Linked DNA regions of Bombyx mori. Each later gene encodes a partner of the first gene's protein in a complex. Links are inferred from orthologs where the notes say so. Each region holds a gene or a part of one and is shown on either strand. Other genes may lie near its edges.

Region 1 (4,312 bases):
AAAATTAATTAACCACCCGCCCACCAAGAACATTTATGCTAGGCAAGTAAGCAGGATTTTGATCGGACCACTATTGCTAATAAAAGGAGTGATCCACAATTGTCAAAAATATTTTGACTGTCATCAGTTAACAAAAGAAATCAACATAATTTTTCTATGAGATTAATATTAAAATTCAGACCACATATTGTAGGCTTTGATAATATATACCAGCCTTTTTTGCTGTATTCAGTTTGTCATATCTATGGTCTCCAGTAACTACGTAACAATAAAGCAATAATAAGATTATATAAAGAAATTTTAGTTCATAGTTACTATAGTGGTCTTAATTCATTCAAAAACTAGTCTAAACAGTAACATAAACCAAATTAAGCAACAATTACATACGTCCAGCTTCAAGCTTGTTGAGGTCAAAAACTCGTATAAGTTTCTCATTGCTAGCAGTCACCAACAATGTGTCATCGGCATTGAAATTGACACTTTTCACAATGTGTTCATGTTCAAAAGTGTGGACCATATCACCATATCGAGCATCCCACAATTTTGCTGTAAATATAAAATTTGATTTTAAGTAATTTGTAATAGTTATTTTAATCACTTTTTACTAAATTTACTATTTTGGGTTTTGTGACCAAAAATTATCATTAACTCAAAATCTACACACTCGAAATAGGTTAGGCATATTTTTAGTTATTTCAAATCGTGAAATCGGTCACATATCACAGAGTGGAATGGAAATTTAATATGAAAAAACTTTTTTATATTATTATATTTATTTCAAAAAATATGTATTTTGTTCAGCATTTTAGCTTCACAAAGCACTTTAAGTACATATCTAAGAAAATACTCAGAGCTTAAACATTTAATATTTTTGGCTTCTTTCATTACTATTTTAGTAAGTCAGTGGCTAAAGTAGACCATGGTATTTTGTGTAAATGACAAAAATATTATAACTTTAGATCATATTAATAAAACAAAAAATTCAAACCTATGAGATTAAAGTACAAAATAATCACTCACAGTGTGATATCCTTAATCTAATTAGTAGCTTATTTGAAGTGTACAGTTTCAGATTTACATTTCAATAAAAGCAGTTTAACTTACTTGTTTAATATTTACCTGTAAAATCGGCTGCCCCACTAGCAGCCAAGTTTGCATTTTGTGTAAGTGCCACACCCCAAACAGCACCCTTGTGACCTTCAAATGTTCCAATCCAGTCACCAGTTTCACCTTGTCGTAACATAGGCTTGCCATCTTAATAACAAAACATGCCATTACATTATAATCTGAATAAAAGCAAAACCAGAAATCATATTAATAAAATATGAGGAATAAACAACCTTGTTAACAGTGAAGATAGCTCATTTATGTAAATAATTAGACAAATTAAGCATTCATACATAAACTATGTTGATACATGAGATAGTATATAATGATAGTAAAAGACAATCATAGCTCATACATTGTTTAAAGCTCTTTGTAAATTAACTAGTTGCTATTACATTTTAGTTTTGTTATGTTTAAAAATATCTGGTTATTGCTTTTTTACAACTACTAAATTATTTTCAGTGTCCAGATTATAACTCATAATAAGTTTCTGTTGATATTATTTTAAAATTCTGATTTTGTATAAAAGAACACAAAACATGATAACAACTATTAATTATACAAGGAAATAAATAAACAATACTACACTACATAATAACAACATTCAAGTATGCTATTTCCTGATTTTTATACTTATTTACATATAAAAAAAAGATTAATTCATCAGAGATTAATGGAACTATTAAATCAGAACCAAAACAGGTAACAGCTAAAACCAAGGATATCATACAAACAAAACATGTAAGCCAAGACTTGAATATAATTAATTTCACATTAGCAATACAAGGAAGTGAAAATTATAATAATTATCATTTATTTCTGATTTTCATTATAATAAAATTTACAGATAAGTCATTGTGTTAGAGTATTATGTTGTCAGAACTCCCATATCATTATTAATAATGTCAAGTACAACAAACCTTGAGCTGGTACAAGGTGACCCAGAATAAGTGAAATGTCAACATTTAATTTAATACAGGAATAAACTTCCGAGCTCGCTCCAAATTTGTATGCATTCAAAGTTGAAAAACTTGTATGTCATGCACTAGCCTCTAGTACATGAATAAAAAGCACGACGCGGCCCAAGGCAAACTGGCGCCGAGGAAACACACAAGTGGATATTCAAGGTGCTTCCTGCATGTCCGGAAAGAGAAGGTCGCAACATGCATAGAATGCACGCCGGCCAAACCTACTGTTCAGAACAAAACAACTAAAGTGAAGGTCTCATAAACGTAGCACGACGCCCGACATTTGTCAACGTGAAACACACCCCACTAATATTAGAAAAAATTATGTTTCCTATATATGTCACGACTAAGGCAAAAGCACCCCAAACGAATAAACAATAAAAACTTACCTTTGCAGGCAGAAATCAAATAATATCCGTCTTTTGTAACGTCACTAAAATCCAAATGCACGACTGGTCTCGTGTGGCCACCGCATGTAAGAGGAACTTGTTTAAGCGTTGTCATTTTGTTAAATTAATTTTGATTGTTGTACTTTGGAAAAATAAAACTAAATTATCTTTTTGTAAAACTAAAATTAACCTAATGAGTCTGATCGTACTGAATGTTGACAATCGACTGACGGAAAGGAAAAAGCAGTATTACTAGAAAATATCTTAAAACTACTATCAACATAGCTTTGTTGCAAGCCATCTAAATTTTAAGATATGGCTAAAAGTTTTTTGATAAAATAAAATTTAGGAAGAACAAAAAAAATATTGGCTAATAAAAAGAAACGTTTAGAAATCAGTTTTATAATACTGGTAATATCTTTTATGACGACGTCAATTTAGTATTGACGTGTCTATTGCTTGACGTTTAATGTCAGACCGTTTAATTGGTTACTTCTGATAAGTTTCTTCAAAATAATTTGTTGTTGTGGCAAGTGATATTAATCTAATTTAGCAAGATGGATTTCTTTACATCTATACCAACCCACATAGATTACGTCGGACAAGCAAAAGCAGAGAAATTATACAGGGCAATAATTACATTGTTCAGTATAGTTGGTTTTGTATGGGGTTATATAGTTCAGCAATTCTCGCAGTCAGTGTATATTCTTGGTGCTGGATTTCTGCTTGCTGCCATTCTTACTGTTCCTCCATGGCCAATGTACCGACGCAATCCTCTGAACTGGCAGGTTCCTAAGAACGGTGATGACAAACCAGCAGCCAAGAAAGGAAAGAAGTGAAATTCATTATCTCAAAATTTGTCTGTACAACTTTTACTTCTCAAATATATCCAATAGTTAATAAGTTTTAATTTTGTTTTATTTACATAACTGTCAATCTTAGTTTACACACACTTAAACGCACTATTATAAAATATGTACCAAATTAATCTTTTGAACTTTTAAACTAGCTAAGAAATATATGCACGTACTACAAAAATAAACTCTTACTATTAAGGACAAATGTTTTAAAATGAAACTATTATTAGTTACTTAGATAGATGTGCTCACAGTCCAACTAGTGTGAAGTGGTTATGAGGCCCATAGGCATGAACAACATAAATTATGTCATACTTGAAACATGAGGTCTAAATGTTAGTGCTATAGAGCAATGGCTGCCTGATCCTTCAAATTAAAACACATTACTGCTTTACAGCAGAAATAAGGTTGTAGGAACTACCTATGTGGGCTAACAAGATGCCTTAACACCAATAATTACAAAAATTATCATTTTTACAGGTTCGGTTTGTATTTCCTTATTAGTATTTCAGTGTTGATGTCAATGTTATGAACAATGATAGGTATGAATATCCAAATTGGTACCTTAATGAAAGAAAACATTTTCTGTTTAAATCACATATATTCCTTATGCAAACCAAACATTTCAACAAAAATTTTACTTGTTTCCTATTTGTGACAAATTATGGCATTCATTGTTGCTCAATGTTTATCATTATTACAATCCTACAAATACTATTTATATAAATATTTCAAAAACAAAACAAGTACACAAGTTGTTACAAATTATCCATTGTAGTTAAATCAAATTTATCTTGAAGATTCTTAAAAGCATCAAATATTCTGTTCTCATTGCATGGATCACAATCATTCGTTTGAATATTATCAGCTTCTTCTTTTTGGTTTTCTTTTGGTTTTTCATCATTATCATTCTTGGATTCATTTGTACCTTCAATGGTAGAACTTTGAACATCTTCCTTATCACATACTTGTTGTAATGTAATAACGACAA
Region 2 (4,228 bases), on another chromosome or scaffold:
ATCAAATTTCTTGTCATCATCATCAACCTATAGCAGTTTACTGCTGGACATAGGCCTATCCAATTGCACACCACAGCATGATTGTAGGCTTCTCTCACCCGGATCTTACCAGCTACCCTGTATAGGTAGTAAAAGCCCTTGTTAAATAATTGAAAAATTTCACACTGCCACTTTTCACAATCTTTGTTACATTTGTTTATGATTCAGCTGTGGTCACCTGCTGTAAATAACAATAGGTGTTATTATATTTACCTTATTTCAGCACACTTTCGAGCTAAATTTCTTAGAATACTTGTTGTATCAGACAATAGAGGTAGTTGGGTACAGGCCAAAAACGCATATACCCATTGACCTGAAAATGAAAAGGCCACCCAATAAAAACTTCTTCTGTATGCATCTGAACAATTTGTACTAAAAAAAAATGGTTTGTAAAACACAATGTATTCTATAAATAAGTTTAAAAATTGATATATATTAATTTGACAGGTAGGTTGGGTGGTTACGAAATCTCTGCTTTAAAAGTGGATTTTTGGGAGAGCTGATATGTGATTTCCTTACAAAGCGTTCACTAATCATCCTTACCCCAATTACAAATTTACTATTATCTTGATTTTATTCTCTTCATATAAAGCTCACTTGTTGTTACAAAATCTTGTATAATTTTGTATAAAGTTAAAGTAAAGACAAAATGCTATGATCGAATCAAAATTATGGAACACATAAAGAATAGTGGCAGAATGTATGCTGTATGAATAATTTGGTTTGCTGAGAGTAACAAAACAGGTTAAGTTTTCTCTTTACAAAAGAGCTGTACTTAATCAATAGGAAGATGATAGAGAAAACTTCAATATAAAATCCACAAACTTTGTTATTGAGAATGACATGAAGAAGTTCAAATCCATTTAAATTTAATTAACGGCTCTTAATCATCTTCTGAACATGTACAGTGTAAAGTAATGACTTACCTGTTTTATGTTCTATAGTATTACCAGGTTTCGTTCTACTAATAATATCAGTAAGTACTTCTAAACCTTGGTCTAGTAATGCATGTTGTAATCCGAGCACGCATGATAATGTTGGAATATGGGTACTGAAGAACTGTTTCCATTCAATTACACAGGTTGGTTTTATTTCTATAATATTAATATTGTTTTTCCATATTTTCCTTTTTGACAGCAAACGAGATATGTACATTCGAGTTTCTGAGAAATCTGCTACTTGCATGTTTTGCCACTCAATTGTAGGTTTTAACTTCTCAGGTACTGATAGCCTCGGGAACTAAAAAGACATTTCCATTAGACATCTATTCAAATTACAATAACATTACTAAGCCACCAAATTATTAAAACTATATTCTTAAAATCTGTTATGTATTATTTCACAGATTTAACGAATGATCTTGAGACCACCCATCAAAAACCATCAGTGACTAATAACTATAAATTAATTCTGCTGTAATTGCAGTTTGCTTTCTACGAATAGTGCAGATCATAAATTAATAACAGGATATACAATTTTGTGAGCTGATTATTAACTTTTTTATTTTTACAAAATGACTTTTATGGTCATGATCATTGAATAATTTTGTGTAGCCCATTTTTTGTGTAGACATCTTGCAGACATTTTAGACATTTTGTGTAGACATCTTAAGACTGTATTCGGGCATCAGGAATGAATCATTTATGAATATGTCCCAAGGTATGAATCTATTAAGATAAAATATCAGTGTATTTATTGTTTTACTTATATTTTACAAATTACTATTGTGAATGTTTTGAATTATAATTTACAAATATATTTTTAGTACTACCTACTATGCCTGAATGAATAAGATTAGTACAGTCATATTAATAAACATAAAAAAGGGACATCAATTAATTAATTATTCTTGATTTAGTACACATTAAAAATCTTTAATTATTCTTATCAGTGCCAATAATGAAAATTATGTATAAAATGACATCTCAGCTGCATTTTGCACAGTTAAGTGAGCTTAACTCTGTGTATTGAAAATTAATTAATACAAATTTATTATTTTAATTATATCATATAGAACCAGGTTTGATAGTTGAAATCAAACTCGGTTTGGTGAAAAAAGGTGACCTAAACATTAAAATTAGATTGATGCAGATAATGATTTTAAAAATGTTTTACAACTTTAGCTACTGGTGCAGATATTTAGAACAATGCGGAAATGTACCCAACCTTTTCCATAGTTACATCAGATGCAGATATTACACCAGAAATTCGTTTCAAAATCATTGGCATCATGGTTACATGAATGTAAATTTTGTTAATCAATCATTTTTAAAATCATTTTTCAGAACTTCACTGACCTCATGCACATACTGAGACTGATTTTCGGCAAACTTTGAATAATCTTTGTTGCATTTCGTAACTGCTGCAATGTTTTTACGCTCCTTTATGACTTTAAGTAAATATTCTTCACCGTTCGTTGGAACCTCTTTTAATTGCACATCAGGACTTATTTTGAAGCACGGTGATACTATATCCAAATTATCTTCATCATCCTTCATTGTTTTCAAGTACTTTTTCAATGACATCTTTTTCACTAAATTACAGCTTTGAGATATTATAACATTAACAATTCATAGTACATATATATGTAATGACTAATAAATAATACTTTTGTTTTGTCTATTTAGGCAGTCAAAAGAAATATAGCCCGTACAGCAATATTCATAGTTATTAACACTTATTATTTGGACAATATTTTTCTATAATTTCATTCTTGTGATCGGAAACGCGGTTTTATTAGTGATTGGTGTACGGTGACAGCACTGACAGCTGTTGGAATGTTGATCACAGATTATTAATAAATAGTTACTAATGTTGATTTCATAGAGTTAGTGTTGTAGGTACTTATTAACTCCATGGTTGATTTATAAAATCGGGCTTTTTTATCACGTAAATGTAGATTGTGGCAGTAGTGTGCAGATTCGAAAAGATAGCATTTTTGAAGTGAAACTTCTAATGCGATTTTCAACAAGGTTGCGTTAAACGTTTAAACTTTAACGCTACCATATCAGAGAAAGAATTTTTTTTAGGCGAATTTATGACCTCGTAACTAAGACCTTTAGGTCAAGTCTTATTTTTAATTTTAATGATACGTACCTTTTTATATGAAAATGATATTATGAAATGAAATGAAGTTGATTATTATGAAACATAGCATGAAATGTAATGAAAACGAAAAAAATGAAATGAGATGAGATGATATGGGATGAAGTATAAACTCAGTAAAATGGTGGTCATTTACTGAGACTTTTTCAGTGGACTTTTTGGAAGATAACGAGAAGTTGTTGGAAGGTTGTGATGCTGTCCACGTATAATTGTCTATGATGCATTATATTTGAATTTGTATTATGTTCCTTTTACTTTTGATGTGCGGTGTCATTCTGAATTAAATTTTCTCTTATACAAGTCAACACAATGTTTTCAAGTATTTAATTTACGTTTTAATTAATTGCTATAGCCGCTAGTCCATCCACCCTATCAGAAGTTACGTTCAGCGGCTTTGTTTCATTTTCCTACATTTATGCACTTTCACAGATACTAAACAGTTAATAAACCACAGTTATTGCACATTTCATTTTTCATAAAAATATAAATAAATAACAATGAAAATTAAATAAGTCAAGGCTTAAAGGTCTTAGTTACCAGGTCATAAAATCTCTTAAAATAATAATAAAAAAAGTATTGTAAGTACAAATTAGTACAAAAGTTAAAATTCGTTTGTGTTGTAAAGAGGTTTAAATATACGGTTGGTTCCTTTTATGTAGCGATTAACATAGATAGGTATTAATACACATAATACGCGAATTTATGAGGAAAGGATTTGTAGTATTTTGTACTAGTAATGTCTACATCTAGCAATCTTTCACAATCTACCTATTCCTCATCTGAAGCAGAAACTCCGCAAGTATGTATGCTATTTATTGATAATGAAATTATTGTAGTGATGTCGTTAAAAATTATAAAATATCTTATTGATGCTTCCAATCCTAGAAATATTTTTTTTCCTTAATAATAAATAAAAAACTCGTGTTATAGGTAACAACACAAAACAGAATACCAAATTTTGATCAATCATTAAACCATGTCCACCTTGGTCACAGCATAGAGCAATCTAAACACTGTGAAAAGAAAGAAATGCATCAAAAAAGAATACAGACTTTGAGAAAGGAACTTGAATATATTAAGTCAA

The links. Proteins that work in one complex are often made in the same cells at the same time.
Region 2: serine-threonine kinase receptor-associated protein (region 1) and gem-associated protein 2 share a complex: the UniProt entries of both Homo sapiens proteins name them as parts of the SMN-Sm complex. The link is inferred for Bombyx mori from reciprocal best matches to the Homo sapiens genes STRAP and GEMIN2.

Annotation. Positions count from the first base shown.
Region 1 is NC_085123.1:9,320,061-9,324,372, reverse strand, and holds the start of serine-threonine kinase receptor-associated protein, read right to left. Parts: upstream 2,805-4,312; 5' UTR 2,580-2,804; coding exon 2,465-2,579; intron 2,295-2,464; exon of another isoform or gene 2,028-2,294; intron 1,287-2,027; exon of another isoform or gene 1,255-1,286; coding exon 1,120-1,254; intron 547-1,119; coding exon 388-546; intron 1-387. Other genes in the region: signal peptidase complex subunit 1, read left to right, coding at 3,022-3,303; GPI inositol-deacylase, read right to left, coding at 4,080-4,312. UniProt on the Homo sapiens protein: The SMN complex catalyzes the assembly of small nuclear ribonucleoproteins (snRNPs), the building blocks of the spliceosome, and thereby plays an important role in the splicing of cellular pre-mRNAs.
Region 2 is NC_085111.1:13,069,538-13,073,765, reverse strand, and holds the start of gem-associated protein 2, read right to left. Parts: upstream 2,814-4,228; 5' UTR 2,565-2,813; coding exon 2,337-2,564; intron 1,279-2,336; coding exon 966-1,278; intron 353-965; coding exon 253-352; intron 1-252. UniProt on the Homo sapiens protein: The SMN complex catalyzes the assembly of small nuclear ribonucleoproteins (snRNPs), the building blocks of the spliceosome, and thereby plays an important role in the splicing of cellular pre-mRNAs.